4 linked regions of the Arabidopsis thaliana genome follow. The protein of the gene in region 1 interacts with the protein of each later gene in a biochemical or structural test. Each region holds a gene or a part of one and is shown on either strand. Other genes may lie near its edges.

Region 1 (7,728 bases):
TATGTTTTTTTTTTATAAAGTACTACTGCGTAGTATGTATGTTATGTATGACAAGGCAACAATCCTCTAAGGAGCAACAATCCTCTAAGAAGCAACAAAAGACTTCTCCTGTTCCATCTCAGTCCTATTGACGTATCTGCGAGAATAAGTTCGTGCAATGAAATATTTTGTACTCTCTCATCAGGAAATGTTTTGTTGTGAATTTGCTAACTATTCATTAAGTTTGTTGATTGACGCTATTCCGCTAACTCTCGTGCTAAAACTGAATTTGTCCATTCAAGAATCAAGCCTTTGTATATATATATATATATCTGATTTCTCTTAAACGATAGATGTAATGAATCATATCGTTTTAAATAATGACTAGCCTTGTTATAAGCTAATTTCTTTTCGGCAGCCCATGTCACATGACACATGCTACTTCATTACACATGAATATATTACATATAGCTACTAGGCTCGAATGGTTTCAAACTTCCAGCTTTTGTTGGGCTTTTTGGGTTTTAGGTTTTAAGAAAATCCAAAATTTAATTTTTCCTTTTTCGTAACAAACTTAAGAAAAAAACGGACTTCTTTAATAAAGAAATCTCAAAACAAACAGAGACGATGGATTTTATCCTTTAAAAAGTAAAATCTGTAACAAATTGTTGATATTATATTCTTTTAAAATATATATATACAAAATGAAGGGTGATGGATCAGTTTAAAAAATTCCAAATCCGCACACACTTTGGAGCATCAAATAAAGTACTCTTGACACAGACAACCATGCAACAACATTATACTATTGGTAAGAAAATTTAGCAAACCAAAGGGGTGGATATTCGATCGTCTTGAAATCTTTATAATACTCCATTAGAATGTATGCGTACTATTACGGCATGATAACTATGTCAATAATCTGCCACTAAACAGTGTTTTAATCTAGTCCAATTGTAATCTCTATTGTAATCAAATTGCCATTATTTAATGTACATTTGGTAACTAATTGTAATCTGAATTAGTCTATTTAGTACATCTTTTACGTACAATTAATCTAAAGTTATCCAGAATGAGAAAACGATCATCAAACAAAGTATAGTTAATATTACATGTACAGATGATAAATGTCTCCTTTCGTTCTTTGTTTTTATTTGGCGATAATGTGCCCTATAATTTTAAAAGCGCATGCTTTCTTCTTATCACTCACACGTTCTCTTCGCACTGTCACTCACATTTTCGAGGAGATTATTGCTAAAATGTTTGGAAACAAACACAATAATATATGTTGCAGAAAAATCTCTTTAATAATCGACCACACATGTCTCCACGATTTTTTTGTATGATTTTAACTTTTTCTTCAAAGATTCATAACCTCGCTTTCCCTCCCCCACAACCCTTTTAAGACATCTTATGTTTATATCCCCATGTTTCATTTTGATTTCACCATTTTGGACCTTTATGACATATATTGATTTTTTTTTATTTTTTTAAAGGGTATTATTCTAGTGGTTTCACTTCTTCTGTCAATATCAAGAAATCCATTTAGCATTTGCATGTTGTGCATCATGATTTATGCGACAAACTTAATTACTCTGAAGTAATCTATGGTTCAAAATACTATTTAGAACGATAATGATCATGTAACATCCACATAAATTTTGAGGTCCTACATTGGAATCTCTAAATAGCTGTGATTGATTTAAATTATCCCTATTGAAAACAAAAAAAAGTAGGTATATTCGTTCCTAACAAATTAGATGCCTCTTTTGATGCCAACTTCCCAATGACTAGTCCCAAATGATGAACACAAAAAACTCACTTGAAAGTGAAATACTCAAACTTTAACTCAAAAGACAACAAAAAACTCCAACTTCAGTCCCATTTGTCTTATTTCTAACAAAAGCCTTATTTACATACATACACCAACAAACCAAAGACTTAACCATTGATCAAACACATTTATTTATCTCATGAAACAACAAACCCCAACCTAATCATATACTACACTAAGAATCCTCTCTAACAAGCATTCAATAGCAACAAGTGGGTACTACAAAATTACCCTTACACAATAGAGTTTACAACTACATTCACTAGAGAAACTTGTGTGAAAGGTTTAACACTTTTTACCGCGGCTTATACTATGATCGTTGTTTTCGACTTTTCGCAGTATTCTCCGGTGTATTAGCCCTAAAGATGCTGACTTCAATTCATGGACATTCTCCAACTTTCTCCGTTAGAGCAACCTTGAGTTGATCTTGCGTGAAAAACTGATTCCCCATTTTCACAGTCGCTTGTTGGATCATAAGATCATTCACTACCGATAAACTCGCATGATTCACTTCCAAATCCAACTCCTTAAGTGCTTCCATGAACTTAGCACCAGGATGATTCCTCTTACTACATTGAATCCTTATCATTGCATCCCAACCAATAATCTTCACATCAACCTCCATCTCTATCAACACACTCGATTCTTGATTCAAACATTTTCGATCTTTTACCGAACTTTTCGCATTTCCCGCTTCTTTATTCATCACATCAATCTGCTTCTGCAACTCTTCTTTATCAGATTCAGCCTTTTGCAACTTAGACTTAAGCTCACTGATATACGAAATAGCATCTCCTAATAGAGAAGCTTTATCCATCTTAGACACATTAGGAACCACAGCTCTTAAAGAATAGAATCTCTGATTCAACTTCTCTCTTCTCTGTCTCTCTGCCTCTACATGATTCAAAGGCTCTTCTCTTCCATTCGCCGGTTTTCTCCCTCGTTTCCTCGGTTTCTTCTCCGGTTCAACCACAACTCTGTTACTCTCAGCTTCTTTAGCCACTGAAGCTTCAAGATCAGAGTGATTCGAGTCACATGGAAGAACAGAGGTAAAAGAAAGCATCCCTTCTTCATTATTCGAAACCGGTGATCTCTTCTTATTACTACTATCTTCTTCTTGACCATTCTCAATCCCATTCTTGAAATTCACCATTTCACAAGATTTCAGAACTTTAGGGTTAGGGTTTTCAACAGAGCTTCCATTACAAAGCTTAGAAATTGGTTGAGAATCAGAATTAGAAGTTGAGTCATTTCCACCATTATTCATCACCGGAGCAGCTACAAGACCAGAGTCAACACCATTAGGTTCACTAATCCACAAACCTGGATCATTCTCTCCTTGATCTGGATTCAAATTAAACGCCCAAGAACCAAATTCACCACCACCATTGTTAAAATTGAAAAAGGTGTCAACTTTATCAACAAGATCTGAACTTTGATGAATAATCTCCGACGAACCAAGCTCAACGACACCATTCTCTGTCGCTACACACACCATTGTTTGTAACCCATAAATCTGACCTTGACGAGCTCTCTCACAACTTGATCCAGCTAAAGCATTAGAACCAGATAACCAAATCGTGTCTGAATTTGAGAAAGCTTGACCAGGTAAACCAGTACCCTTGACAAAGCTCTGTGTCATTGAAACTAAGAAGAACCATTCAGTATCTGTAACTTCTTCATCTCCAGCTTCATCTCCTCCTCCTACACCACCGGAGATTAAAGAGTTGAGCTCTCTAATCACTCTCTTACGATGCTCTTGTTCAGCTGCACTAGCTGGATTTGATTTCTTCTTTCTAGACTTCTCTTCTTCTCCTTTGTAATAACCATCTCCCCAACCTAACAACACTGTGTTGTTGTTGTTGTTGTCTTCTCCGGCGAAACCGTGAGATGATTGCCAGAACACGGCGTAAGTCCAGTTCTCGTTTGCTCCTTCGATTAAAGCTTGGAGACGTTGCTGGAGATTATCTTCGTTGACTTGAGGAAGAGGAGGAGGAGGAAGTGGAGGAAAAAGAGAAGAATGATCGGAGCCGCCGCCGATGAAAGCTTCCATTACCGATGCATCGTCGTCGGTTGACCAGAGATTTGTTGTATCCGTTTTTGATTGGTTGAGATGGTAATCGGTTACTTGAACATTCGTCGGAGACATAACAGTTCTCTGACGTAGTTATAAAAGAGAAGACTTTTTGTTTTTCCGGTGAGAGACAGAGGAGAGAAGTAAGTTCTTTAAGCAAAATATTTGTGTTTGGTTTGATTGTTTCGGGAAAAGGAATCTGTTTATATTCATTTTTTTTTTTTAACTCTAAAGAAAAAGAAATAGTACTTTTATTTTCACCAAATATGAATTATTGATTGAGTTATTTCTGAAGTTGGGTTATATACATAACTTGATTGAAAACAATTTTTTTCTGAATAGTAATTGTTTTACAAGAAAATTACTAATCTATGTAAGAGAATCGGATCAAATTTGTCAAGGAGCCTTTTACATCAAAGTTGATAATTAAGAACAATTAAAGAATGAAAATGATATTTCACTTACAATAATGATCTTGTCTCCCTCACTTTTGGTATTGGTGTCAATATCTGCTTTTCTTGTGATTAATCCCATCATTTAATTCTTGTAAGCAAGTAGCATCAATTAATTTAAACAATGAGTTTGTAGAATTGCAGTTGTTCTTTGAGGCAGGAAAATATGATTTAAAGGGATTAAGGGAGTGTTAACACCAAAGATTTGGATACAACATTTATATACAAAACCTATAAAGCAAATATTGTAGACTTGTAGTTTAACATTTTCTTATAAACATATTTTTGTTGGCTTCGTTATTGGACACAACTTTTTGCAATGATAAAGAACAAAAAAAAGACATGGGTGATTTTGATATCAAAGGTGAAAGAGACGCAAGAGCATAAAGGAAAATAAAAGGTATAGTATTAAAACAGAATTAGATTTAATTACGAAAATTATACGACCACACAAAAATAATCACATTATGTCGTGTGGGTCTCGTGTTTTTAGTGGCCAGATTTCATAATATGCTTTCTTTTTCAGTGAGAGCAAATGCCCAAAAATGTTGGTCTCTCTATGTTCATATCCGACGAAACTATAGTGTCTACTGTACAGTGACATTTCGGAATCGCATAAAAGCAAACAAAACAAATTAAGCTGGGCTTTACTTTATATTGGGCCTCACACATTTTGGGTAGTTAATAAAACTAGCCCGCAAATATTTCACATTTGACATTTTTTAGTGTATGGTCAACAACAAGTATAGCGAAACTTTTAGCATATAATATGTGTGAGACATATTATGGAAAGAAGGCAAAAATGAAAACCGTTAGTTAGTTTGAAAACCTGGAGTTATAAAAAGTCGTATTTTAATTTACTAATACATGTTAACTTCAGATATTAAAAACAAATCCTGTACGTATTAAACCATATGATAAACATAATATTAATACGAAAAATGTATAACACACGATTAGACAAATTAGGAAGTAATCTTTGAATTGAGGTTTAAGAAAAGGTGAAAATGATAAGCTTTCGTCCGTTTTATATCATCCATGTTGCTTCAGAAACGGAATTTACACACTACGTGTCGTTTCTACGTAATGCCATTTTCGTAATTTCTAGAGTTTATTCAGGGTGTTTTCGTCAGTCTAGTCAGATCAAATGTTTCCATCAAACGTTAGTACTGTTTCCTTTAGATTTACAGATTTTGAAGAAGAAAGATTTCAAATTAAAAAATCTTTCAAATTTCTTCAAGGAGGTGATCAAATTGAACAATTTGATCTACAATGGCTTCTTCTTCTGCTGACAATCTTACCGACAAAAACATTGTTTTCAGAAAACTCAAATCAAAATCTGAGAACAAGGTAATCAAATTTTTTTCTGAATTCTTCTCTTTCTTTGAGTATCGTCAATTTGATATTGTGTATGTTTAGATCTGAGAGTTGTTTGACTAGATCTTTGATTCATTTATGCTAATTTTGGTTTTGATTTGCCAATTTAGGTCTGCTTCGATTGTAGTGCGAAGAATCCAACTTGGGCATCGGTTACATATGGGATTTTCCTCTGCATCGATTGTTCAGCTACTCACCGGAATCTTGGTGTTCATATCAGCTTCGTCAGGTAAACAATTCATCATCTGATCCAATTCTTCGGCATTACTCTAGCTCAGATTTTGGCTAAGGTTTAAGCTTTTGAGGCCTTTATAAGGGAATTAGCTTAAACCGTGCTCAGGTGTTCAGAATTGTTGGCTAATGTGTAGCATTACGTTGACTTTAGTGTGGTTGAATCATCAGATTATGTTTTAAGGTTTCAGAATTGTTGACTTCAAAATTTCACCAGTGTCTTGAAATTAGACTCATTCAAATTATCGATTCATTGACTAGATAATATTGAATAATGCCACATTACGTTCTCAAGATGCTACCTTTTCCGTTTTTGTATAGATCAACGAATTTAGACTCTTGGAGCCCGGAGCAGCTCAGGACAATGATGTTTGGTGGTAACAACCGTGCTCAGGTTTTCTTCAAGCAACATGGATGGACTGATGGTGGCAAAATTGAAGCTAAGTATACTTCAAGAGCTGCTGATTTGTATCGGCAGATTCTTGCTAAAGAAGTTGCGAAAGCGATTGCGGAAGAAACTAATTCTGGTCTTCTGTCATCTCCCGTTGCTACTTCTCAGTTACCGGAAGTATCTAATGGGGTTTCTTCTTATTCTGTCAAGGAAGAGTTACCTCTTTCGAAACATGAAGCTACCAGTGCTACTTCTTCGCCTAAAGCTTCTAATACAGTTGTGCCTAGTACGTTTAAGAAACCTATTGGTGCTAAAAGGACAGGAAAAACTGGTGGTCTTGGTGCAAGGAAGCTTACTACTAAGGTAAGTCTTAGGGGTATTTTTTTGGAGCATTTACGTTTTTGTTCTCTTGTTCAGATTAAAAGATTGGATTTTGTTTTTGGTGAAATGTAGCCAAAAGACAATCTCTATGAGCAGAAACCGGAAGAAGTTGCACCGGTTATTCCCGCTGTATCATCAACAAATAACGGGGAAAGCAAATCATCAGCTGGTTCATCATTTGCCTCTCGGTTTGAGTACAATGACGACCTGCAATCTGGAGGACAAAGCGTTGGTGGTACACAAGTGCTTAACCATGTTGCTCCACCAAAGTCGTCAAGCTTCTTTTCGGATTTTGGAATGGACAGTTCTTTTCCCAAGAAATCAAGCTCCAACTCTTCAAAATCTCAAGTAAACACATAATTTCTCAGTAACAAAATTAATAAATCGAAATTCCAAACCTCTTCTAAACCATTTCTTTTTCTCTTACTAGGTTGAAGAATCAGATGAAGCAAGAAAGAAGTTCACAAACGCAAAGTCCATATCTTCAGCTCAGTACTTTGGGGATCAGAACAAAAACGCTGATCTGGAATCAAAAGCTACTCTTCAGAAGTTTGCAGTAAGTAACAACATTCACCACAATCTCAAAGGAACATATAACAACATCTTCCGATTCTAATGCCATTGTTGGAAATTACAGGGCTCAGCATCTATCTCAAGCGCTGATTTTTACGGTCACGACCAAGATGATTCCAATATTGATATAACAGCTAGTGATCTCATTAACCGACTTTCTTTCCAGGTAAAAGATCCATACACCTGAATCTCTGGTTCTTCTTCACATTTTTAACCTTTTGACGAATTTTTGATCAGGCGCAACAAGATCTATCGTCGCTGGTGAACATAGCAGGAGAAACAAAGAAGAAGCTTGGAACTTTGGCTTCTGGTATCTTCAGTGATATTCAAGACAGAATGCTGTAAGAAGACCACGAGTCTCTCACATGTTTTTGATATTGACAGAGAAAAAAAAGTAAGAAAGAAGCTTTGTCGGAAAACTTCCAATGAGGTTCAC
Region 2 (7,371 bases), on another chromosome or scaffold:
CTTCTATCAGATTCTTTCTTTCCTATTACCTTTGCCTTCTTCTTCTTCCTTTCCTCTTTCTCTATCTTCCTCTCAATTCTTTTACTGTTTATTTTCTTTGTAATCAACAACAGTTTAACTCTTCTTCTTCTTTTCTTTATCAAGAACAGTAGTTTCTCAATTCTTGATTATGATACTAAGCAAGAGACCTCATCTAATGATCCGTAAATTGTCTGAGATGTTGGTTCCAAGAAGCAGATCTGCTGCTATTAAACCGGAGGAGTACACGGCCAGTCCGAGAAGTCCGTTGGATTTGAACTTCCCCTCCCCGGTTCACTCGAAGCGGTTCGGTTCTGGTGGTGTCGGTTTGGGTATTGTTGCTGCGTTGGAGGAAACTAGCAACGGGATTAACCGGCATGATCCGGTTCGTTACTCCGGGAGATTCAGGTGCCCGGAGATTGATCTGTCGGATGAGGAATACACTTATGTTACGAGCCCAAACGGGCCGACCAAAGTGTATTACAACGACGACGGGTTTGAATTGTCTGAAAATGATTATCGGAGAGTTCATAAACCGATGGTTACCGTCGATGAACCACCGGTTATTGAAAGACAGAGTGTTAGGGGTCCAACAGAGTTTCTGAGTTCGTGTTGCTTGTGTAAGAAGAAACTTCAAGGCAAAGACATATACATGTACAAGTAAGTTTCATCGCATTATTGCTTCTTGGATCTTTGTTAAATTGGAGACTAATTCAATATTTTATTGGTATTTTTTCTAGAAACTGATCCTTTTTTTTTTGGGTTGTGTGCAGAGGAGAGATGGGATTTTGTAGTGCCGAATGCAGATCAGTGCAAATAATGAATGACGAACGACAAGAGCAATGTAAAACGCAAGTTTCAAGAAACGCCGACGTTTTGAGCTCTCCTTACGCCGCCGGACAGAGATTATCTGCCGGAGTATTCGTATTTTAGGATGATCACAATTCACAATAATACGAAGAGAAGTATATTTTATTTATATATAAAAAAAAAAGTGATCATCATTCCATTTTACCTTAATAGAAGAAAAAAGGTTAGAAAATAACAAAAAAAAAAAAAGTGAAATTTTTGGTTAGGTTAAAAAGCACATTGTATAGAAGTTTGCTTTTTGTTAACTTTTAATACCGAGTAATGTTTATGGCTTTTCCTCGGAATCACATAAATCAATAATCATTTCGTGAAATAGCTTTGTAGAACAAGTATGTATGTATATATGCCAATTTCTCAATTCCCTGTATCCAAAACATTGAATCAATCAATTGAAAATGTAAGATTGTGCAATACACATGTCTTTTTTTGTTTTTTCCACAAGTCTAAAACTTTGTGGCTAGAAGACTTGTTTGAATATGTTTACACTTTTTGATCAAAAATACAAAGTCCTGTGGGTTTACTTCTGTTTTATTTTAAAGAAAACGTTACCAATCAAAATATTTATAGAGGTATAAAATTAAAATTACGTTCAAAAATGTAATGTGTTGCTAATTTGCTATTACTCGAGTTCAGTTTCTTAATTACAAACAACTTAAATTATCTTTCAAAAAATAATAGAGAACGCGTACTATCATTTTAATGAAGAAACCAAAATAACGTTTTAATAAATTTAAGACTTGAAGAAACACAATTATGAGTTTTAAATCATTATGATTCTTAGTGCAATGTATGCACGTGGGCCCTTAAATATGCAACTTGTTGTATCCTGGCCCGTTGTCAGAAATTAATAAAAGATCCTTTTCCCCAACTAAAAAAACAATGATATTTTGGTAAAAACTTTAGTCCCTACCATTTTGAACAACTTTGATTAGATGAAGTCCGGGGCCGATTCTGTCCGATCCAAATTACGTAGTCTTGGCGATTTGTTAATGCTGAAAAATTCAGTTATTTTTTTCCAAATCGGATAAAATTGGATCTTAGGTTCTTCGGGCTTATTAATCATAACGAATTTCGGACCAGTCTTTGGACCAAATTTACGTTTTGTTAGTTGGATGATCATTGTTCAAGACCGAACAAATCATTGTTCAAGACCGAACGAAAAAAAGTTATCGTGGGTCAGAATTCCCGTGGCCTACCAAGCCTGGTCTGATCTACTCCACTTATTGGATATTTATGAAGCTCTTTTTATTATGGACTTCGGATATTTTACAAAGTTATAACTAGTATTTTGGGAAAAACAAAATTGTAACTGGCTTGGTATTTTAACCAAAAATAGTCTACATAGTTTGTGCCATGTATTTAACAACAAAACGAAAATGCTAATACTATAATGGATAGATAGGTTAAAACGTATTTTGAACAATAGCAGACTTGTTAAAGAAAATCTTTCACACGACAATACTTGATAGAAAATCATCATTTTTTAGACATTTCTTTATTTTCGAGAATGCTTTAAGTATTTCTGTTCCTTAACTGTAAGCTTCAGCTCTCAATAAGTGACGAACAAACAATCGGATTAAATAAACTTGGATTATATTAATGGCCATCAACACAAAAACACAAGTGATGTTTCTTACAAAAGTTGCAAGCTAATGTTGAGATCGGCAGAGGAAAGGGTTATACACACTGGCTAAAACTTAAACCCCAGAAGCAAACATTGAACACTATTGATATTGATTTCATACAAATATAATGAGTTTTCGGGGGAGTTAAACAAACAAAACTACTAGGGGTGAAATTAATCTATAGAAAAAATGAACAGAGGAGCAGCTTGATATTTGTAACGATGGAGCATCAGAAGAATCTTACAAGAAGGTCTCTCAAGTTGTGCCTTCTGGGTCGGACAGGCTCGAAGTTTACCGTGAACTGAGCCAAGCTGGGTTAGTAGGCTTGGAAGACGCTTCAGCTGAACCGTCTATTTGGTATGGTGCCTTTGATGTGATCCTGTTAAAGGTTTACGAGTAGGATATTGAGAAATTCGCTTAACAAGAACTTATGGAATAACAAGATATTATGTTTTCATTAAAATGCATTACCTATCCTTCCTCTTCTCAAGGAACCGATGAAGTGAAGCTCTTCTTGCAATCGGGAGTTCTACAAATCAAAAAGAGAGAAAGTTAGAGAAATAGGACTAAGCCAAGCTCAGAGATGGTTGAACCAAAAGAGGCTGAGATCAATTACCGCAGGCTAAAGAGGCCGGGTTAGGCTGAATTGGCTCTTGTGCTGCGGTTTTTGCAGGACTACAAACAGGATTTGGGCTAGAAGCAATCTCTTTTTGAGAATAAGCACTATGGTTATTGTTTACTTCAGCTGTGAAACATGTGAAGCTTTTGGCACTTCCTTTGTTAGCCAAATCAATGACTTCTTTAGCTTTCTCAGCAGAAAAATCATCAAACACCATAACTCGACCACCGTAGAATATAGTCAACGGAGCAGATTGAGACTCTGGCTTCACAGATCTGTTCAAAATCACACAAAAATTAGTTAAACTGATGAAACATAGCTTACTATATGAGACGATTCTTTTCACTATATACATATAAACACATACTTAGTAGTCTCTTTGATCATCTGTACATCTTCTTTGGTCCCAGAGGAAGAGGAAGAAGAAAAGCTTGATTGTCTCGGAAACATAGTCTTCGGTTTAATGTCTTCTTGACCAGCAGAAGAATCCATTCCTGAAGCTTCACAAGGGAACAGATTCATCATTGTAGGCTGACGTGAACCTCCTGCGAAAATTGATCCAAAAGTAAAGATTATTATCATTCACCAATCTCTCAAACAACTGCAAAACAAAATCTACTTAATGACTAAACCAGGCCTATGGCTTTAGAGGATTATGCTTAAACCAAACACAGAACCATCTCCACAAATTCATACACATACATACATATATAGAAATTGATTCAAAATCCATTAATCATCGATTCTCTACAACGATTCAATTTCCAGACAACATGTAATCGATTCATAATTCGTAATTCGCAACAGGAAACTCAAAATTCGCAGAAACGAAATGAACAGATCTAAAAGAGAAAGGTTGATTACCATTAACGTCGGGCTTGCATGTCATCCCTAAGCTCAGATCTCCAAAACTACCCTTCTCCTTCAGGTAACGACTCAATCGAGTACATGTTTGTGAAAAGCTCGGTTTACGACCAGAGAAGTCCCAACACTCGGCAGAAAAACTCGACATCGTTGAAACCGAAATTGAAATCGTTTCGATTGAGAAATTGGAGCAAAAGGATCTTCCTTCCTGAGTTGTTGAATTTTCTCGAATCTTATAAAAAAACTTAGGGTTCTTGTTTATCTTTCTCTGCCAAGTGCGTTTTGTCACGAGGAAGAAATGGAGGACCTCTTTATTACTTTTTTTTCGCTGGTTGCAGATACGGAAATTAGTAAAATATACTCTTATAGTATTAATTAACATAGAGACATTTAAAACACGTGTTTTAATTTAATGTTTTAACGGCAGACCACTGTTTCAGATCACCACCGTCACCCACGTCCCCACGCTTCACACTTGAAATAACCATTTCACCCTCTTACTACTCCTGTTTTTACCATTTTACCCTTACAAGATGTTCAAATAAAATAAAAAATTATGAAAACGTAAAATCCTAAAATTAATTAGTTCAAACAAATCAATGTTCAGATGAAATTTGATTATGATAGTCTTTCAGTTATACCATTTAGTTGGTTCATATATCCTTTTTTTTAAGATGAATCTCTTGGCATTAATTTATGTATTTTTAGCACTATTAATTAGTCTACTATTTTAATCTCATAGACCGGCGTGATATTTTAGCACTCAAAGAGAATTAACGGTATGATTTGGGGGAAAAAAGAGGATTAACGGCGTTAGATAGAGGGAACACGGTGTGGGTCTTACATAACCAAAACTCCACCACCAATGCAAATTTGATCCATAAATCACGTTTTGTATTTTCCCTTTTATTAATTTTTTTTTAGTGTTTTATTTATGACAACAGTAATAAATAATTACAAAAAGCGGGAAGAGCACGTCTCCTCCATGAATCGCGACCTTACACGTGTCTAACTTAACTGCCCACATTTGAGAGAATTTTTCTTGTTGGTGTCGTAGTCAGAGTAATCACCTGTTACGCGGCTTATATAGCAGCTGTGTTCTCCTACGCACAATAGCCGTTGATCCTATCACTCTGTCTTTTATTCTCTTGTTATTATCCCATGCGTTTGTTAGGAACACACAAATAAGTTTGATTTTCTTTTATAACGTAACGTCCAACTTGTTATTTTATTGACTTGGATTGTAGTAATTGCTAACTCATTACAGGTACATCGAGATAACGTAAGGTTCATAGAGTGGCTCGTGAGAAAATAAGGATGATTGGTTAATTTGGTTTTTAACTGTTTTATAAACATCTTCACAAAATTTTATACATCACAAACATATCCATAAGAAACAAAATCAGAAGAAGCTGCAGGTACATACAATTACAAGGAAGAGGGGTCACAAGAAGAACCCAGAGCGCATAAAGACATCAAAGTCTGGATATTATTTAGAGTATGCAACCAAAAAGAAGAAGGCAAGTGGGGTGGTCACAAAAATGCAAGATAGAGGTCACAAGAAGAATAGAAGAACATAAGCTAATTAAGGAATAGTACTCTATATTCCTGTTTTTACTGTAGAAACTTTATCTACTTATGGCTCTCTTATACAAGGCTGATTGATACCCTTTTAGCCATGTTTTTATACTTGCTCTTGGTTTTCACAGCTGATTCATTCCTCTTCTTTCTTTCACATATTTAACAGAAAATAAGCTTACATATGAAAGTGGTAAAACATTGGGCCCTTGGAATATATTTTTTTAGTTTTTACCTTTCAAAAGATGATTTAGTTACTCTCTATATATGTAATTAACAAAGGGAAAACTGTCAAGAGCTACTAAATTTAAAATTGAGAATTGATTTGGCATTTTTTGAGATTTCATGTTAAACAATAGAAATGTAAAGACTACAAAGATTTCCAATAAGAAGGTATCACAAGAAACAGAATTTTAATGGCGAATCCAAACTCTGATATCTCTAGCACGTTTTAGCTCCTGTCCAAGTCTTTGGCTCATCAGATCTTGATCCTAAGAAACTTAGCTTAGCTCTTGGTAGTTGAACAAACTCTGTTGATTCCCTCGACGTAACACTAGCATAACATGGGAAACTTCTTGTAAAACACTGCACATAATTTAAACACTCAGCTTCATAACAAATTCTTAGTCCATCCCAAATCATTTTAGAGCATTTCTGGACCGACAATACTTCAAAGGGAACTTGCACAAACTTCCAATTCATTATTGCCAATGATCCATCTCAGCCAAAGTAATAAATATAGAAAGGTCAAAAGAGTTAACTGTCCTTCAATTCCTCTAAGAATCTGATGATACACAAATGTACAATGGATGTAACTTTTTACCTTACAGCAAGTTATACAATCAGGTTTGGAGTACAAGCAACTGCTTTCGCTTTCACTTGTAAGGAGCAAAAATGATGCTGGAGTTATGACCACCAAACCCGAATGAATTTGACAAGGCTGCTTTAATGTCCAGTCTCTCCTTCTTAGGACCCACCAGCAGCTTTGTATCCTGCTCCAATTTCATTTCACAGTACGATTATTAAAACTCCCAAGAGTTTTTTTTTACGAACATTAAAAGGTCTTTGTATAGGTATTGAACTCATATGAAACTAACATACCACTCCACTGTCTGGATTCTCGAGGTTGATATTTGGATGAACCCATCCGGTCCGTATCGCCTGTAGATAGCAACAGAATATTAACATTAAAAATGCGAAGATTGCACATAATTTCGCTCTATGCTAAAACTTGGTTTCAACAACACTTCCTTCCTTGTAGATACACCGAGTCAAATGAGTTACCTGCACAGTTGCAACAGCCTCCACGGCCCCAGCAGCTCCCAGCAAGTGTCCAATCATAGATTTTGTGGAATTTACCTTAAGCTGCCACATCGAGAAAGATCAAGAAAAGCACATAAAAAGGCACTTCGGAATTTTGTAACAAAGAACTGAAGCTACCTCAGGATTTTGGCCAAAACAGTGAGCAAGGGCTTGGTATTCCTTAATATCTCCAGCATGCGTTGAGGTTGCATGTGCATTTATGTAATTTATTTGTTCCTTGGAAATCCCAGCACTAGCTAACGCTCTCTCAATACAGAGAATAACACCAGCCCCTGCGGATTTAAGAAAAATGGGATAATGACAAAAAAATTATAGAAAAAAGAGATTTCAAATTTGTAGTTGACTAGCAGACTAATATAAATTAGGGGAAAATGAAACTACCATCAGGGTGAGGCTCGGTCATGTGATAGGCATCACATGTGAAACTCCCACCGAGGAACTCTGCGTAGATAGTTGCACCTCTTTTCTGAAAGA
Region 3 (7,137 bases), on another chromosome or scaffold:
AAAGTAATAAAGTATTTTGTGTGTTTGAATTTGCTAATGTGATTAACGAGTGGGCTACATGGTTTTTGCAGTGTGGATCTCAACGATCTGTGGCTCCGATCAAAACAGGGTTTGTTGCTCGTGTTAGTCGCAGGAAGACTTGAGAAATTAGAAGGTGAAGTGACCTTGGTATGGAGTTTGGAGCTATTCTACTGCTTCTGTATGAGTTTATGAGTTGAAGAAATACTTGTCTTGTTTTTTTTATTTTGTTTTGGAATATGATTATGACTTGACTTTTAAAATGGGATAGGATCAAAACCTTTTACTCTGTCAGGTTCATGTGGTCACCTTGAAGGTTGATTTAGTAAATCCATGGACTTCTTTTTTGTGTTAAGATTATTCTTAGTTCAAAATTAATAGACTAATGATATTAACGTCCACAGGCATTGCGTTCAACATCTCAAATTAAAGCGTGGAAGGCTCAGAAAGTCCAATATACACTATGTTTATCTACAGTTACAATCATACTACAAAAAACAAATAATGTATACGGTTTGGTCTAATATAGCCGCATACGATTTAGTATTTACCAACAAAAAATTGGTCTCAAACCAAACCGAACAATTGGTAATTAACAATTGTTCTTTTGGTCTTGAACCGAACCAAACCGAACTGAACTATATTAACCGACCGACTTCGTCCTTTCCTCCTGATCAAGAAAACTCGTCTCCTACAAAAATCCCAGAAGACAAGAGATTGGTTCTTCTTTTGCATCATTCTTACAAAATCCCCAAAATCATTCGAAACCCCTGAGTATTCTCCTTAACTCTAAGAAATAAATTTCTGAATGGATGCATCGTCTTCACCGTCTCCTTCCGAGGAAAGCTTGAAGCTTGAGCTTGATGATCTTCAGAAACAGCTGAACAAAAAGCTGAGATTCGAAGCATCCGTTTGTTCTATTCATAATCTTCTCCGTGATCACTACTCTTCTTCCTCTCCTTCTCTCCGCAAACAGGTTGGTTTTTATTCTTAGATTTTCGGATCAATAGATTCAAAATTATTCGGAATTGTTAGGGTTTATGCCTGCCTTGACGTTTACTCATTGCTTATGTCTGATGATGGGTTTAACTTTTGAGGATTGAATCAGGAATCAAATATCTTTCTTTTATTGTTTTTCTATTTCAATTGTGGAGAAAGTTCATGTTCATGTCAAAAATTTCATTTAATCCGATCTGTTTTTGTTTAGTTACCCTCTGTGACATAGTATTGATTTGATTGCCATTGCAGTTCTATATAGTTGTATCTCGTGTCGCTACGGTTCTTAAGACAAGATATACAGCTACTGGATTTTGGGTTGCTGGACTGAGTCTTTTCGAAGAGGCTGAGCGACTTGTCTCTGATGCTTCTGAGAAGAAACATTTGAAATCTTGCGTTGCTCAAGCTAAGGAGCAGTTAAGCGAAGTAGATAATCAGCCAACAGAGAGCTCACAAGGTTTGTGAAACATTTAGTTTGGCTTTTGATGGTTTTAAGTGAAATTTATCTGGAGATGATTTTTATTTCTCTTGTGAATTTTTTGCAGGTTATCTTTTTGAGGGACATCTTACGGTTGATCGTGAGCCGCCACAGCCTCAGTGGCTAGTACAGCAGAATCTCATGTCTGCTTTCGCTTCTATCGTTGGTGGTGAATCCTCTAATGGTCCTACTGAAAACACTATTGGGGAAACTGCTAACTTGATGCAAGAACTTATCAATGGTCTTGACATGATCATTCCAGATGTAATGCCTTCTCTTTTCTTCCTTACTAGTTTTAGATTATGTACTATCACACATAGCTGATATCACAAGTTTCTTCACCTAAAGATAGAGATGAAAGCAATTCTTAATCATCCGCATTCTACTCATATGTTGTTTTTTGCATATTGAGTTTCTCCACTTGGTTGTCTCACTCATCTGTATCAAGAGTGTTTAACCTCAACCTCTAATATTGTATTGGTAGCGTCTTTTTCTTAGCTTCATGATTGAAAAGTGATATATGATGTGTTCTATGCAGATACTAGATGATGGTGGACCACCAAGAGCTCCACCGGCAAGTAAAGAAGTTGTAGAGAAACTCCCAGTCATTATTTTCACCGAGGAATTGCTTAAAAAGTTTGGAGCAGAGGCAGAATGTTGCATCTGCAAGGAGAATCTAGTTATTGGCGACAAGATGCAGGAATTGCCATGCAAGCACACATTTCACCCTCCTTGCCTAAAGCCTTGGCTGGTATAAAAAAAAAAATCCCATTCTTTCAAGCTTACTAGTAAGTAAGAACATAAAGCTTATGCTCATATTGTTTTATGGCAGGACGAGCATAACTCTTGCCCTATATGCCGCCATGAATTACCAACAGACGATCAGAAATACGAAAACTGGAAAGAGAGAGAGAAAGAGGCCGAAGAAGAGAGGAAGGGCGCAGAGAATGCTGTCCGCGGAGGTGAATATATGTACGTTTAAATTTCAATCAGTTATGGCACACTCCCATTGTCTTTCCTTGAAACATCTCCGAATTGTTGTTCATCATTCACAATTATAAATCCCATTTTACATATAGATTCAATGTCTTTTGTATGAAAGCTTATAATAACAACACAGACTTCTTTACTTTACACACAATTGTATCTTGAAGAGATGACAAGTTCAATAACATAACATCAAAGAGTCATTAGTTAGATAGACTCTAGGACAGTGTTACTAACTACAATAGTTTCTTCAGTAGAATTGTAAAATGGCAAACATATCTGACCACTCCCAGACATGGAAACAATCTTCGGTTTGTCTAGCAAACCTATACAGACACTATCATACAACACATTACACACAGCAGCGTACATGATAGATTATCATATTAATTACTATATTGACAAAACGTTTTACTTAGTTTGCTTATAAGCTTAATGTGGAGGTTTGATCTTCTGCTAAGCAGTTGGAAATTCCTCCTTGATAGAGACATTGCCTGTTGGGACATCTGTCTTTTTGAAGTCTGAAGTAGGGTAAGGGTTTTTGTTGACCAATCTGCAGATAAAAAAAAGTGAATGTTATTGTTAGATGCAATATCAAGGTTAAACATTATGATCAATCTGTCTTTACAAGTCTCTCACAGGTACATTAACAAGCTCTGTATTAGTAATCAATCAAAAACTGAATAAAATAGATCAGATTTGAATTTCCATTGAAATGGAGAAGGATGAAGTGTAATTTTAAAGGCTGCATACCTGTCCCGTCTTTTCTCGAGGAATCGTTGAAGCGAATGCCTCCTTGCAATAGGTAGATCTGTTACGGCAAACATAATTGTAAGAAACTAATGAGAGTATCCATTTTCAAGGTTTGAAGATTACTATAACCAGTTGAATCGAATACTTACCAGCCGTGGATCTGCAAAACGAGATTGGCTGAATAGGAAATGGCTGTGCAGCTGGTGATGCCACATTAGATGTGCTTGAGAAAGAAGGAGCTCTGTTCAGTGCTGGCGATGAGACAGGACTGATGCTTGTAGAATTCTTTGTCTCCATTGCTTTAGCAGCAATACGAAGGATTTCTTGAACCTATAGGCATAGATCACAGTGAGAACAGAAATTCTGAAGTTTTTCTGACAACAACAAAGCTCTAATGGACCAACCTTTTCTGATGGAAGTCCATCAAACACAGTAACACTTCCACCAAAGAAAATAGTAAGTTGATTTGGAGGAACCGTTGGCTCAGCGGTTTGAATCTCCGTGGACCTTCAATAGCAGAAGATCTATTAAACTTGTGACCGACACTATAAAGATGGACTTATTGATGCAACATTAAGAAAACTCTCCACATATGAATCCAGTCTCTCCAATTTCACATGTTAACGGTGAAGTTCTATTAATCAAATTCACATGAAAACTTATGTATGCATTAAAGGACTTTGAAAAACACAAGTTTGTTAAGAATCCAATTGTTCCAGCCAAAAAACAAATTGGTTCCATTGAGAAATATGACTTTCCCTAAATAGAAACTAAAGTAACCAGATCGAAATGCTGATCTTCCTTATCAGAAACAAGATACAATTTTAAGTACTAAACTCAAAGCAAAGAGAGAAACAGATAAAAACATGTGAAATCAACAGTAAACACAGCTCATACCTAACTTCGTTAATCGATTTCTCAACAGATCCGGTACCGCCGATCTCAGCCGCGCCGCCGTCACCGTCGGCAACACCACATCCACCTTCAACGGAAGCGCGTGGCTCATCTTTCACCTTAGTCATGGCTTGTCTCTCAAAATTTGTAGATCTGTCTTTTTCCGATGAGAATTTTGATACTTCTCTCCCTTAGAGTACTTTTGTTTCGCTTCGTCTCTACGTCGTTCAGACCGGGAACCTCCGAGATTTATCCTTCTCAGAAGCTCCTGTAATTTGACACCTGGCGATAGATATTGATTTTTATTGTTTGACTTTTGGTGCTACGACAGTAAAAGACAACAAGAGGGTAATTAGAAACGTGCTCGAATATGATACGGTGTCGTTGGCCTTCTATGTGGGACATGCTTTCTCATTTCGGTTATCCGGAACTCCAAACGTGTATAATTTATAAGTGGCTGAGACGTTAAACTAATTGAGTTTGCTGGACCTTGATTCATTGGGCTCTTAAAGTACTGTTGGGCTTAGTCGTCTTAAAATGACTTCTAAAATGGACCTTGACTGCTTACATTTATAATGTTTCTCTTTCTATTTTATAAGCCTCTTTACATTTATAGTTTTTTTTAGTAACAATATTCGCATACAAATCACGAATTAATTTATTTCTGTTTTTGTATTCGACCGCTAAATCATCACCAAATTCAAATTTGTATATGGAACATTTTTTTTTTTCCTCTATATAATCAAACAAAATGCAAAATTGTCGAAACTATAAAATTTACTTCTTAATGTAACTTATAACTTTTTGGTTAAGGGTTAATCTAAACTTTTTAGTTTTTACTGAAGGGCGCATAAGAAATCTGGGAAATACGAGGGTAGTTTGGTCTTTACGAGTTTCATTTAGGGTTCCGAAAGATCTGGGTTTTGGCTCTCTCCTCTCATTTTCTACTCTTCTTCAAAAGCACACTCAATATTTCGAGATCCTCTCGGCTTGTTCGTTCTTCGTGAACGATCCCATCTATTGTTTCTCGCTAGTCTCAGATTCGACTAACTTGGATATCTCCGATACTGAAGAAGCCTCCTTCTTCTTTTTCCGCTCTTCCCGATGCCGGTAATGTTCCTCCGTCGTCTCTTTCAATCCTTTTGCTTTTCCCCAGTGCTCTCCGTTAACTGAACTTAGCTATTTCGTATTTAGATCGATAAGATCTTCAAAGATGATGCTAGTGAAGAGAAGGGAGAACGTGCGAGGATGGTGAGTCTTTTGAATCGATTAGGATTTAGGGTTTTTCAGATTCACTCTTCTACTGTTTAAATCTGATTTTCTTTTCTTTTGTTGTTGCTCTTTTAGGCATCATTTGTTGGTGCAATGGCTATCAGTGATCTGGTTAAGTCTACTTTAGGGCCAAAGGGCATGGTAATTTCCGATCTCTGAATATTTAGAAAGCTACAAACTTTCAATTTGGTTCTATTGATTATTGTTGAATCCTTTTTATTATTGTTTAGGATAAAATCTTGCAATCTACTGGTAGAGGTCATGCGGTCACTGTTACTAACGATGGTGCTACTATTCTCAAGTCACTTCACATAGACAACCCTGCAGCTAAAGTTCTTGTTGGTATGTAATTTCCCTGCGACATTCTGGCATGAAGTTTTCACATTCGTTTTTTCTTAGTTGGGTTTTCTCTCACAGTTCGTTGTATCTGGTTTGTTCTTCAGACATCTCGAAAGTTCAAGATGATGAGGTTGGTGATGGAACTACCTCTGTTGTTGTCTTGGCCGGCGAGCTTCTGAGGGAAGCAGAAAAGCTTGTGGCTTCTAAGATTCACCCTATGACCATCATAGCAGGTACACTTTTGGAGCTTTAAGTGTTAAGATGTCAACTTTGTATCAGCTTCTCTCACTATGGCAATGATTTCTAATTTTTTCGTTTTCTGGTTTCTTAGGTTACAGAATGGCTTCGGAATGTGCTCGTAATGCTTTACTGAAAAGAGTCATTGATAACAAGGACAATGCAGGTAATCATTATAGAGATGGTTAAACCTTGTTATGCTGACATATTTAAGTATAGCATTTTCTTGTTTGTGTGATTACTTCGACTGTTGGGTTCAAGCGGTGATTTCCTTTCAGTTGAATACAGAACGGAAATCACACTGTTATTTTACAGCATTGTATTTTTGTCAATGCAGAGAAGTTTAGGTCAGACTTGTTGAAGATTGCGATGACTACTTTATGTTCCAAAATTCTCTCACAGGACAAGGAACATTTTGCAGAAATGGCCGTGGATGCTGTTTTCAGGCTAAAGGTTCCATTTCTTCCTCCTTTTGAAACTGATTCAGCAATGTCATGTGTTCCTTCCTTCTTTTTCTCTTGATTTATGTGTTATCTCATGAAAGAAGATCTTCCTTTGACGAAATGTCATGAAATTAGGCTATTATCATTTCACCATTAGTCTTTCCCATAGTTGCATCGTTTCGTTTTGGATTGTTATATGATTTTTTTCTGACATTCTGCTTTTATCGTTCAACAGGGAAGCACAAACTTGGAAGCTATTCAGATCATCAAAAAACCTGGAGGGTCTCTGAAGGATTCGTTTTTGGATGAAGGGTAAGACAACACTTTGTGCCTTTGGCGTCAGTTCAAATTCAGTTTTCTGAGCTATTGATCTTTCTTTAGTATTCATCTGTTCATGGTAACTCTGTCGTGTTTCTTTTCTTCTTCATAGCTTACGCACCTTAATTTCATTTATAGTGTTATTTTGGAATGTTGATAGTCATCATGTCATCTTGTTGTGTTGTGTTTCTTCTTCTATCGAGTAATATGGTCTCATGTCACCTCAACTTAAAATCTATGCCTGTAGGTTTATTCTTGACAAGAAAATAGGAATTGGGCAGCCTAAGCGCATAGAGAATGCAAATATCTTAGTAGCTAATACTGCTATGGATACCGATAAAGTGAAGATTTACGGTGCACGTGTCCGTGTGGATTCCATGACCAAGGTTGCTGAGATTGAAG
Region 4 (8,853 bases), on another chromosome or scaffold:
ATTGTTTAAGTGCTGATGATCTACAACTACAAGATGTGATCTAGCTTATGTGAATCCGAAAAGTTTCCACTAACACAGTGCATGCATCCAACTTTATGCGGTCCATGGCAAAACAACAAATCCTCATTGGCTCATTGCGATACAAACTTATTATGACTATTAGATTTGGGCCATTCCTTATTACATTTTGGGCCCATATTAGTCGGACTTTTATATTAGTAATGGACATGTCAAGGGAGAAGAGTCAGGCAAAACGATCATACAAGTCACAAGAGATAAAGATGGTTCAAGATGAGTTCGATCTACTTCTCTTTATTTTCAGATCAACAGTTTTGTAACTATTTTTTATTTATTTTTCAGTAATTTTGCTAGCTAAATATTAAATGATGTGTTCACGTTACGTCTATATCTCAATTAATAACATTACTTTCTGCTTTTCAATTATCGAATAGATTGAATCCAAATTTTTTTATGACGAAATAAATTACTATAATGGTATGCATCATGAGTGTACTATTGTATTCTTGCATGTGATTTTTGATCAACATGGTGTTTTTGTCATTACTATCAAAAGACTTCCATCGCTGCGATATTGGATTGTCAGAACTCGGAAAAAAACAAATTATGTCGTAGCTCAATTCCACGAAAAAGTCTAAAACAATAATTAGCAGCTCTATATAGATAATCGAAGGCAAAGGTAATTGTTTATAATTTTGCAAAAGCACGACATATAGGATAACGTGCACTCTTCAAAAGCTATTTAGCAATGCAATCACGGTGGAATTTGTGCATGTAATCTCTTAGCCTAACATAACCAAAACCTATGGTGACATCTTCTAGACAGATTGGGGAAACTTCTTCTTCGTCTTTCCCTAAACTCCCCTTGTTCTTCTCCACCATGCACAGCCCTCTCTAACTTCCATGAAATTCCAAGACGTGGAGATACATTTTGGCCCCTGAATCTTCTCAGCTTTATACGTACACCTCCATCGTAAATTATTGCGGAGGCGTAAACGGTGAAGGCGCCGTAAACAAGGGTCGAAATTAGGCAAACAAGTCGGCATACGATGTCAAGAGCCCACGAAAGACTAATTGCTTCTGGATGTCCATAATTACTAGCAAATAAGTCTATATCAAAATAAAAACTAAAATGTAAGTATTAACAGGTGAGAAATGACCAGATCATTAAGTAGGGAGGCTCTTCTCTGGATCTGGCTCGACGTCGACGAGAAGCAGGATGAGCCATCAAAGGATCCACTAAAGCACCAAACTCAAAAAAAAGAGAGCCAAATATTGCAACTACTCAAGTCAGTCTAAATATAGTTAAATGCTGCGCTATATATCATGCATATACATATGTCATTTGATTTTCTCTTTGCCATTATTTACTCTCATTCGATTTTAATACAAAATTATTTAAGTTGTTGTTGTAAACAGACGTTGCTGTTGCTGTTGAGTTTGATTTAGAATAGTTAAGTTTGGTTTTGGTTGGAGAAAAGTTTTCGTTGTTAAGCCAACTCGTGATCATTTAATCTGTTCTTTTTTTGGTAGGGGGTGATCATTGAATCTTTTGTTTTGAGTTTTGTATGTCTATATAGAGTCTAATACCATTAAAACAAAAAAAATGTCGTGGTAACCAGAATTAAATGATGTAAAAACAGAAAACAAGAATTAAATGTCGGATGTAAAAACAGAATTAAATTTCGGATGTTTTATGTGGATCATAGCGTGAGAGATGCGTTTATGGCATCTTTTGATATAATCTTCGCTTTGTAGGTCCACTTTTGATCTGATCTGATCTATTATCTATATGGAATGTTGTGTATATAATAAACTGCAGTGTAGTATTTTCTTAATAATGTGATATTAATATCTAAATTCTAGGCTGGAGAAAATGACGTGTGCTGCATATCCCCCAGACTCGAAATAACGATGTTATCGTGGGAGATGATCGTCAATTTTTTTTTTGTTTAGAGATCGTCAAGTTGTTGTGATCATTGACTCCTTTCCATTTTTTCTATAGATTTGAATTTTAAATATTCATTTTCATAAAAAAATGAAAACTTTATTATTATATTTGTGAGATAATTAGATATGTTTTAAAACATTAGTAAATTTAGTATAGTATTAGTTTTTACTAAATTAAGAAGAAAGTGACGCACGAAATGGCGTAATTTCCTCCCCCGGACCACATGCATCTTATAAATACACAAAAACGATGTCAACGAGTGATTTTAGTAATATGTACATTAAAGTAATATTTTCTTTTTGGTACCAATAATTACCTTAATTAATACAAGTATAGTTTAAGCAACAAGCAACATTCTTTAATAATTCGCGAAAAATATTAATAAAAGTACAATGACAGAAAAAATAATTAAAAATTGGATTAAAAAAAATAATATTAGAGTGATGACATAATCACATGAGGATTTAGATTTAGCTTAATAATGTTTAGTTGTGGAACTAAATTTCCGCAACAATTATTTTGTTGTATTTAAATCATTTTATGAAAGTCTAATCTTTACAATTACTTTATAGTACCATCCGATTAATCAAAGATTAAAAATATAGTACTAAAATACAAATTAATATATTTTGCCAAAAAAATGCAACGTGCAAATGTTTATCTTGGTCAAGAGAACGTGCACGAAAGTAGTGTAACTAATTTTACTATTTTAGATTGAGCGGTGAGACAAAAAGGGGGTTAGACTCACGCGCTACACTTAGCGCGTCAGCCGACAAAAAAAAGTGTTGTCATTGAATAAAAAAATAAATTAAAACTGCCGCTTCGCATCTCGTGAATCATTCACGTTAAAATAGCGCACGTGCCTCGCCACGCGTCTCACCACAAAAAGAAACGCCACACACTGCACGACGATGCACGTGCCTTTTTAACCGACTATATCCGGTGACGTAACCGGGACAACCTGTAGCTGGTTTTTGCGCCAATAGGATATGAGAAAAAAGAATCTTTTTTTTCTTGTTATAGTTATAAATTAATGGTACGATTCACATGTCGCATGCGATTTGTTAATAAAACTAGAAATTGCGGTGAATTAACTTCATTCCACGTTTTTTCATTTTCTCCCTCAAAAGTCTCTGTTTTTTTTCCTTTTTCCGGCGAAGCTCTATTTAGCTTGATTCCGGCGTTTAACACGCGTTTTAATCGAAACAGACATTTGAGATCGAATTAATTTTGTAGCGGGCTGTGTCTTTATTATAGATGGAGAGAGATTTTCTCGGGTTGGGTTCGAAAAATTCTCCGATCACTGTCAAGGAGGAAACCAGCGAAAGCTCTAGAGATTCAGGTTATTTATTACTCTTCTCAATTTTTCTGATTCTGATTGTTTTTAAATCGTAGATTTGTTTGATTGATTAGGAGTTATTAGGACTACTTGTAGTATGGAATTTGTTTTTGGATAGCTGATTTTATGGCTTGCTCGGGAACTGGAATTGTCAGTTTGTTGCTTGGAGCAGAACATTGTCCTTTGCTTTTCTCGGGAGATGTAGAATTTGGATTTGGAAAAACTAGTGTTCTTTTCCAAAGCCTTGTCTTAAACATGCTTTCGGTCGGAGAAATTAACGAGAACTAATCTCAAGCTTCTAACATAATTAAACTCGGTAAACTTTTTTTTACTAGAGTAAATTTTTTTGTTTTGTTTGAAGAGTCTTATAATTGAGAAATACTTTATTAGTTTATACTAAAAAAAAAACGAATACGTAAAATGTTGGAAAAGAGGGGATGTATAGAGACTGATACAAAAATGATAAAATAGAGACGGTTGGTAGTAGGTAGAAAGATTAAATATACTCAAAAGAGTGAGTTGGATTAGTTTATAAGATGATTAACTTCTTGATTGTGTGAGTTGGATTAGTTTATGAGATTATTAAAATATTGATTGTGTATTTGTGTTGTGTGTTGATTAAGCGGAACTTGCGTTAGAATATTGTTCAAGGTACAATGTGGAAATAATAGTTTTCTCACCACGAGGAATATAATTATTTCAACTTTGTTTTCTTATCAGCCAAAACGTGCCACACCATAAAAGTAGTGCATCAACATGTGGTGTGGTGTGGTGGGGTTAAAGTTTGAATCTCTCTTTAATTTAAACTATTAAAACAAACTTAAATTATTGGAGTTTCGTACAATGACTTTCAATCAAATGTTTTAGAATTAGACACGGTTTTCGAAAGTGGTTTTCCCTCGTTGAATTTGTCAACAGTATCAGATTCTACATTGTTGGTTACTAATCTTTTCCTTGAAGTAGGTGTTGAATTAATCCTCTGTTGTTTATGTAAGGAGATCTCGAGACATTTATGGTTAACAGTTAACACTACATGTTTGACTTTAAACTGATTATCTTTTATTCTTTTTCTTTTGTAGCTCCCAACAGAGGAATGAACTGGTCTTTCTCAAACAAAGTATCAGCTTCTTCTTCTCAGTTTCTATCCTTCAGGCCAACTCAAGAAGATAGACATAGAAAGTCTGGAAATTATCATCTTCCTCACTCTGGTTCCTTCATGCCATCATCAGTAGCTGATGTTTATGATTCAACCCGCAAAGCTCCTTACAGTTCTGTACAGGTATTTGTCATCAAAACCTATGTTAACCAAGACCCTTGTGTTTTTTTTATCCTTCGCAAGATAGCTTTAAAAGTGAGCCCTGTTTTATGAGCATATAGTAATTGGTTTTGAGTCTAGTTTAGCACAAGTTCATGGCAATTAGTTTGTGGATCTAATCTTGGTTTAATACTGATTCATTTTAAGTGTAAGCTAAGCTTCTCATTTTTGATAAGTTAGTTCATACAATGCCTCACACCTACTTTATGGCTTGTTACTCTCAGGGAGTGAGGATGTTCCCTAATTCCAATCAACACGAAGAAACTAACGCAGTTTCCATGTCGATGCCGGGTTTCCAGTCTCATCATTATGCACCAGGAGGAAGAAGCTTCATGAACAATAACAATAACTCACAACCTTTGGTAGGAGTTCCTATCATGGCACCTCCAATTTCAATCCTTCCTCCTCCAGGTTCCATTGTAGGGACTACTGATATTAGGTACCCACTAGTCATCATATCATACAGAAACTCTTTCTACATTTTCATAGTTGACTAAAGACTTATTTTTGTCAGATCTTCTTCCAAGCCAATAGGTTCACCTGCGCAGTTGACGATCTTTTATGCCGGTTCAGTTTGTGTTTACGATGACATATCTCCTGAAAAGGTATCTCAATCATTTTCTTCCATATATGCATCTCTTTTACTCGTAAGGTATGGTACTCATTTGCTTTCTTTCATTTCTCAGGCAAAGGCGATAATGTTGCTAGCTGGGAACGGTTCCTCTATGCCTCAAGTCTTTTCGCCGCCTCAAACTCATCAACAAGTGGTCCATCATACTCGTGCCTCTGTCGATTCTTCAGCTATGCCTCCTAGCTTCATGCCTACAATATCTTATCTTAGCCCTGAAGCTGGAAGTAGCACAAACGGACTCGGAGCCACAAAAGCGACAAGAGGCTTGACGTCAACATATCACAACAACCAAGCTAATGGATCCAATATTAACTGCCCAGTACCAGTTTCTTGTTCTACCAATGTAATGGCTCCAACAGGTAAAAAACAAAGTCAGAGACCTGATACTACATTCGCCATCTAACTTACTAGTATTTTCATGGATGTAACTTCATTCTCGTTCTGTTTCTTATGCAGTGGCATTACCTCTGGCTCGCAAAGCATCCCTGGCTAGGTTTTTAGAGAAACGCAAAGAAAGGTACGCAACACTTCTTTAGAATACACCATTCAATAGTTTCTTGGGCTAACTCTCTTTCTCGCTGTGGGTTTCTCAGGGTCACGAGCGTATCCCCATATTGCTTAGACAAGAAGTCATCGACAGATTGTCGCAGATCAATGTCTGAATGCATTAGTTCTTCTCTCAGCTCTGCAACCTAATTTCATCTACAGTAAGAAGGTTGCTTTAGACCACTCCACATCCATATTTGCATTTCAATGGCGGTCTTTTCAATGTCTCAGTTAATTTTTCCTCACTCGCCACACTGAGTTTCTCCTTAGCTTTATATATACGATAGTGTATACTTTGTTTACATGTTTTTTGGTGGAATGGAACTTATGAGAGCATATCAGATATGTACTTGGGAAAATTAGTAGAAACTGTTTGTTTCTTTTTTTTTAACTCTGTTCTTTTGTATATATCACTGAAGCTCGCATATGTATAATTCATGTAATGGAATTGCATCGCTTCTGTTTCCCTAAGTTATTTCTCTAATCAATTTTCTATTCAAATATGGGGATTTTTTTAATAGGATTTGCTAATTTGTACTCTGGTTAACAATAAGCTTGATACATTACCAGTTACCAACTCGAATTCACAAAAGAAGTCATCATTATATATGGAGAAAATGGAACATCTTTTAGAATTTGCTTTAATTCGTTTTGGCTAATTATTTTTCGGTCTTCGTTTTGGCTGTGAGTTTCTTTGTAACATCCTAATTTCAATATGTGGGCCATTTTGTGTTGTAGCCCATCAAGGCCCAATGTCTTATTGCACAACGAAAAGGGATGTTGCAAAAGATGATAAACCGGATATGAATTCAGTCGCGGTTAAGTTAACGCGAAGACAAAACCGGTTGGACATGTTCGGTTTTCGGCGATGATTATTTCAACGTTTTTCAGTCTAATCAAAACCAATACGAGCAGACACAGCTCCGTACGATCACAAGGATTCACTGATTTCTAAGCTTTTCATAGAAAGAAGAAGAAAAAGGCGGAATTCGATGGTGGATGCGATTCAAGTAGCTGAGCTGAGAAGATTCGTCGAGCAGTTGAAATTGAATCCTTCGATTCTCCACGATCCTAGTCTGGTTTTCTTCAAAGAATATCTCCGAAGGTGATTCATTCTTCTCTGACTTATCTTTCTTTCGGTGAATTTCATTTGTCAGTTGAATTTTTCCATGGAGCTGTGAGTTTCTTTGTAATCGATGCTCGTTCCCGTCTTATCGTGTACAGTTTAGGAGCTCAAGTTCCGAAGATTGAGAAAACTGTAAGTTGTCTTTCTTATGAATTATCGATGTTTAGGTTTCTCTTGTTTGTGCTACTTGGGATTGAGTTCTTAATATCTTTGTGTTGAATTGATGTACAAAACCCTTTTCTAGGCTTCAACACTATCTAAATGTTGATCGAATAGTTAACTATAAATTGCAGGAAAGAGATTATGAAGATAAGGCTGAGACAAAACCCAGTTTCTCTCCTAAACATGATGATGATGATGATGATATTATGGAGTCTGATGTTGAACTCGACAACTCTGATGTAGTTGAACCAGACAATGAGCCTCCTCAGCCGGTAGGTGTTGAAGTTATCATCTTTGGATATTATGTGGTGCTTGTGTCTCTATGCATTTTTTTACCTGATTGGATGATTTTACTTTCTTGTCTTAGATGGGAGACCCTACTGCTGAAGTGACCGATGAAAATAGGGATGATGCTCAGTCAGAGAAGAGCAAAGCTATGGAGGCAATCTCTGATGGTACATAACTACCGTTGAAATTGGTTTTGATTATCTACTTCATAAGATTTCTCCTTAATGCTTGATTGGTATACAGGGAGGTTTGACGAAGCTATAGAGCATCTAACAAAAGCTGTCATGCTAAATCCTACTTCAGCGATTCTCTACGCCACTAGAGGTAACTTTCTTTTACTAGTTCACTCTCCCTTTTCGGCTGAATGTGGGTGATAATACTCAATATTTGTGATTGTTGTCCTGCAGCTAGTGTGTTTTTAAAAGTTAAGAAGCCAAATGCTGCAATTCGTGATGCCAACGTAGCGTTACAGGTGATCATTTCTCTTGACATAAACTTGTTTTGTTTGTGCTGAAAATGGATTTGGTAAAACAAGTTTATGTCTCAATAGTTTTATGGCTTGGGAGAGTGATTTTATATCTCAATGGTTTTCTTCCATAAACAAGCTAAACTAGTTTATTTTGGGGTTTAGTTCAACTCTGATTCAGCTAAGGGGTACAAATCACGAGGTATGGCTAAGGCCATGTTAGGCCAATGGGAAGAGGCTGCAGCTGATCTACATGTCGCATCAAAATTAGATTACGATGAGGAGATAGGGACAATGCTTAAGAAGGTAATTGCGGAAACCTCTTGATATCACTGTATGGTCCTTGAGTTTTACAGTACCAAATATATATGCTGAAAATGTGTACTTCCCAGGTTGAACCCAATGCAAAGAGAATCGAAGAACACCGCAGGAAATACCAACGCCTGAGGAAAGAAAAGGAGCTCCAAAGGGCTGAACGCGAGAGACGGAAACAGCAAGAAGCCCAGGTCAGACCGACTCATACCCATAATTAAATGTTGTGTAGAGTTACATTCTTTTGATTATCTTCTTAGCAGAAATCACATAGGCCTGATTATCTTCTCCCTGTGAGAGTTAAAATATAACCTCTTCTGATATTATCAATATCATATCATATCAAACATCTCACGCTCATTGATTTGCTTCTTGCTCGTGAATCCTATCAATGCAGGAGCGAGAAGCTCAGGCTGCACTCAATGACGGTAAACATTTTATCCATTTCTTTCAACGGTTTTCTACTTCATGATATTTTTGCAAAGAACTAATTATGTGTTGGAACATTTATCTGTGAGTCTTGCCCCAATGAATTGTCTTCACTCAATAAGAAGCAAAGCTCAATATGCTCTTGTTAGCCACTAAATCCAGTTGATAAGGCCACTAACCAGCATGCTTATCCCGCATGCAGTCTCATTTGCATTCACTTACCTGAGAAATTCTGCTAATCCAGACCAGAACCGTAACCTCCCAACAAAA

The links.
Region 2: the proteins of MYC4 (region 1) and TIFY10B form a complex in vitro, tested with the Arabidopsis thaliana proteins (one study listed by BioGRID).
Region 3: the proteins of MYC4 (region 1) and JAZ12 form a complex in vitro, tested with the Arabidopsis thaliana proteins (one study listed by BioGRID).
Region 4: the proteins of MYC4 (region 1) and JAZ3 form a complex in vitro, tested with the Arabidopsis thaliana proteins (2 studies listed by BioGRID).

Annotation. Positions count from the first base shown.
Region 1 is NC_003075.7:9,931,510-9,939,237, forward strand, and holds MYC4 (Basic helix-loop-helix (bHLH) DNA-binding family protein), read right to left. Parts: upstream 4,177-7,728; 5' UTR 3,963-4,176; coding exon 2,193-3,962; 3' UTR 1,817-2,192; downstream 1-1,816. Other genes in the region: AGD8 (ARF-GAP domain 8), read left to right, coding at 5,612-5,689, 5,827-5,945, 6,269-6,701, 6,792-7,067, 7,150-7,275, 7,357-7,458, 7,530-7,637. UniProt on the Arabidopsis thaliana protein: Transcription factor involved in jasmonic acid (JA) gene regulation. With MYC2 and MYC3, controls additively subsets of JA-dependent responses. Can form complexes with all known glucosinolate-related MYBs to regulate glucosinolate biosynthesis.
Region 2 is NC_003070.9:28,146,115-28,153,485, forward strand, and holds TIFY10B (TIFY domain/Divergent CCT motif family protein), read right to left. Parts: upstream 4,333-7,371; 5' UTR 4,145-4,332; coding exon 3,997-4,144; intron 3,678-3,996; coding exon 3,500-3,677; intron 3,408-3,499; coding exon 3,130-3,407; intron 3,043-3,129; coding exon 2,985-3,042; coding exon of another isoform or gene 2,981-2,984; exon of another isoform or gene 2,893-2,980; coding exon 2,805-2,892; 3' UTR 2,461-2,804; downstream 1-2,460. Other genes in the region: AT1G74940 (cyclin-dependent kinase, putative (DUF581)), read left to right, coding at 170-678, 792-951; FAB1 (fatty acid biosynthesis 1), read right to left, coding at 6,450-6,566, 6,676-6,735, 6,859-6,939, 7,015-7,169, 7,279-7,363. UniProt on the Arabidopsis thaliana protein: Repressor of jasmonate responses. Jasmonoyl-isoleucine (JA-Ile) specifically promotes COI1-TIFY10B/JAZ2 interaction. Activated by MYC2, MYC3 and MYC4 transcription factors.
Region 3 is NC_003076.8:7,088,000-7,095,136, reverse strand, and holds JAZ12 (jasmonate-zim-domain protein 12), read right to left. Parts: upstream 4,434-7,137; 5' UTR 4,255-4,433; coding exon 4,130-4,254; intron 3,740-4,129; coding exon 3,637-3,739; intron 3,563-3,636; coding exon 3,382-3,562; intron 3,291-3,381; coding exon 3,233-3,290; intron 3,223-3,232; exon of another isoform or gene 3,033-3,222; coding exon 2,936-3,032; 3' UTR 2,598-2,935; downstream 1-2,597. Other genes in the region: EIF2 BETA (eukaryotic translation initiation factor 2 beta subunit), read left to right, coding at 72-143; AIP2 (RING/U-box superfamily protein), read left to right, coding at 827-994, 1,267-1,471, 1,560-1,756, 2,031-2,243, 2,325-2,474; AT5G20890 (TCP-1/cpn60 chaperonin family protein), read left to right, coding at 5,231-5,236, 5,321-5,377, 5,474-5,539, 5,629-5,740, 5,842-5,970, 6,069-6,140, 6,312-6,427, 6,653-6,729 and 1 more. UniProt on the Arabidopsis thaliana protein: Repressor of jasmonate responses.
Region 4 is NC_003074.8:6,116,742-6,125,594, forward strand, and holds JAZ3 (jasmonate-zim-domain protein 3), read left to right. Parts: upstream 1-2,965; 5' UTR 2,966-3,226; coding exon 3,227-3,311; exon of another isoform or gene 3,312-4,341; coding exon of another isoform or gene 4,342-4,387; coding exon 4,388-4,587; intron 4,588-4,847; coding exon 4,848-5,062; intron 5,063-5,137; coding exon 5,138-5,228; intron 5,229-5,309; coding exon 5,310-5,613; intron 5,614-5,710; coding exon 5,711-5,771; intron 5,772-5,847; coding exon 5,848-5,950; 3' UTR 5,951-6,303; downstream 6,304-8,853. Other genes in the region: TDX (tetraticopeptide domain-containing thioredoxin), read left to right, coding at 6,793-6,905, 7,025-7,058, 7,220-7,360, 7,456-7,543, 7,620-7,700, 7,784-7,848, 8,008-8,148, 8,235-8,348 and 1 more. UniProt on the Arabidopsis thaliana protein: Repressor of jasmonate responses. Jasmonoyl-isoleucine (JA-Ile) specifically promotes COI1-TIFY6B/JAZ3 interaction. Acts as a negative regulator of MYC2 function. Feed-back regulated by MYC2.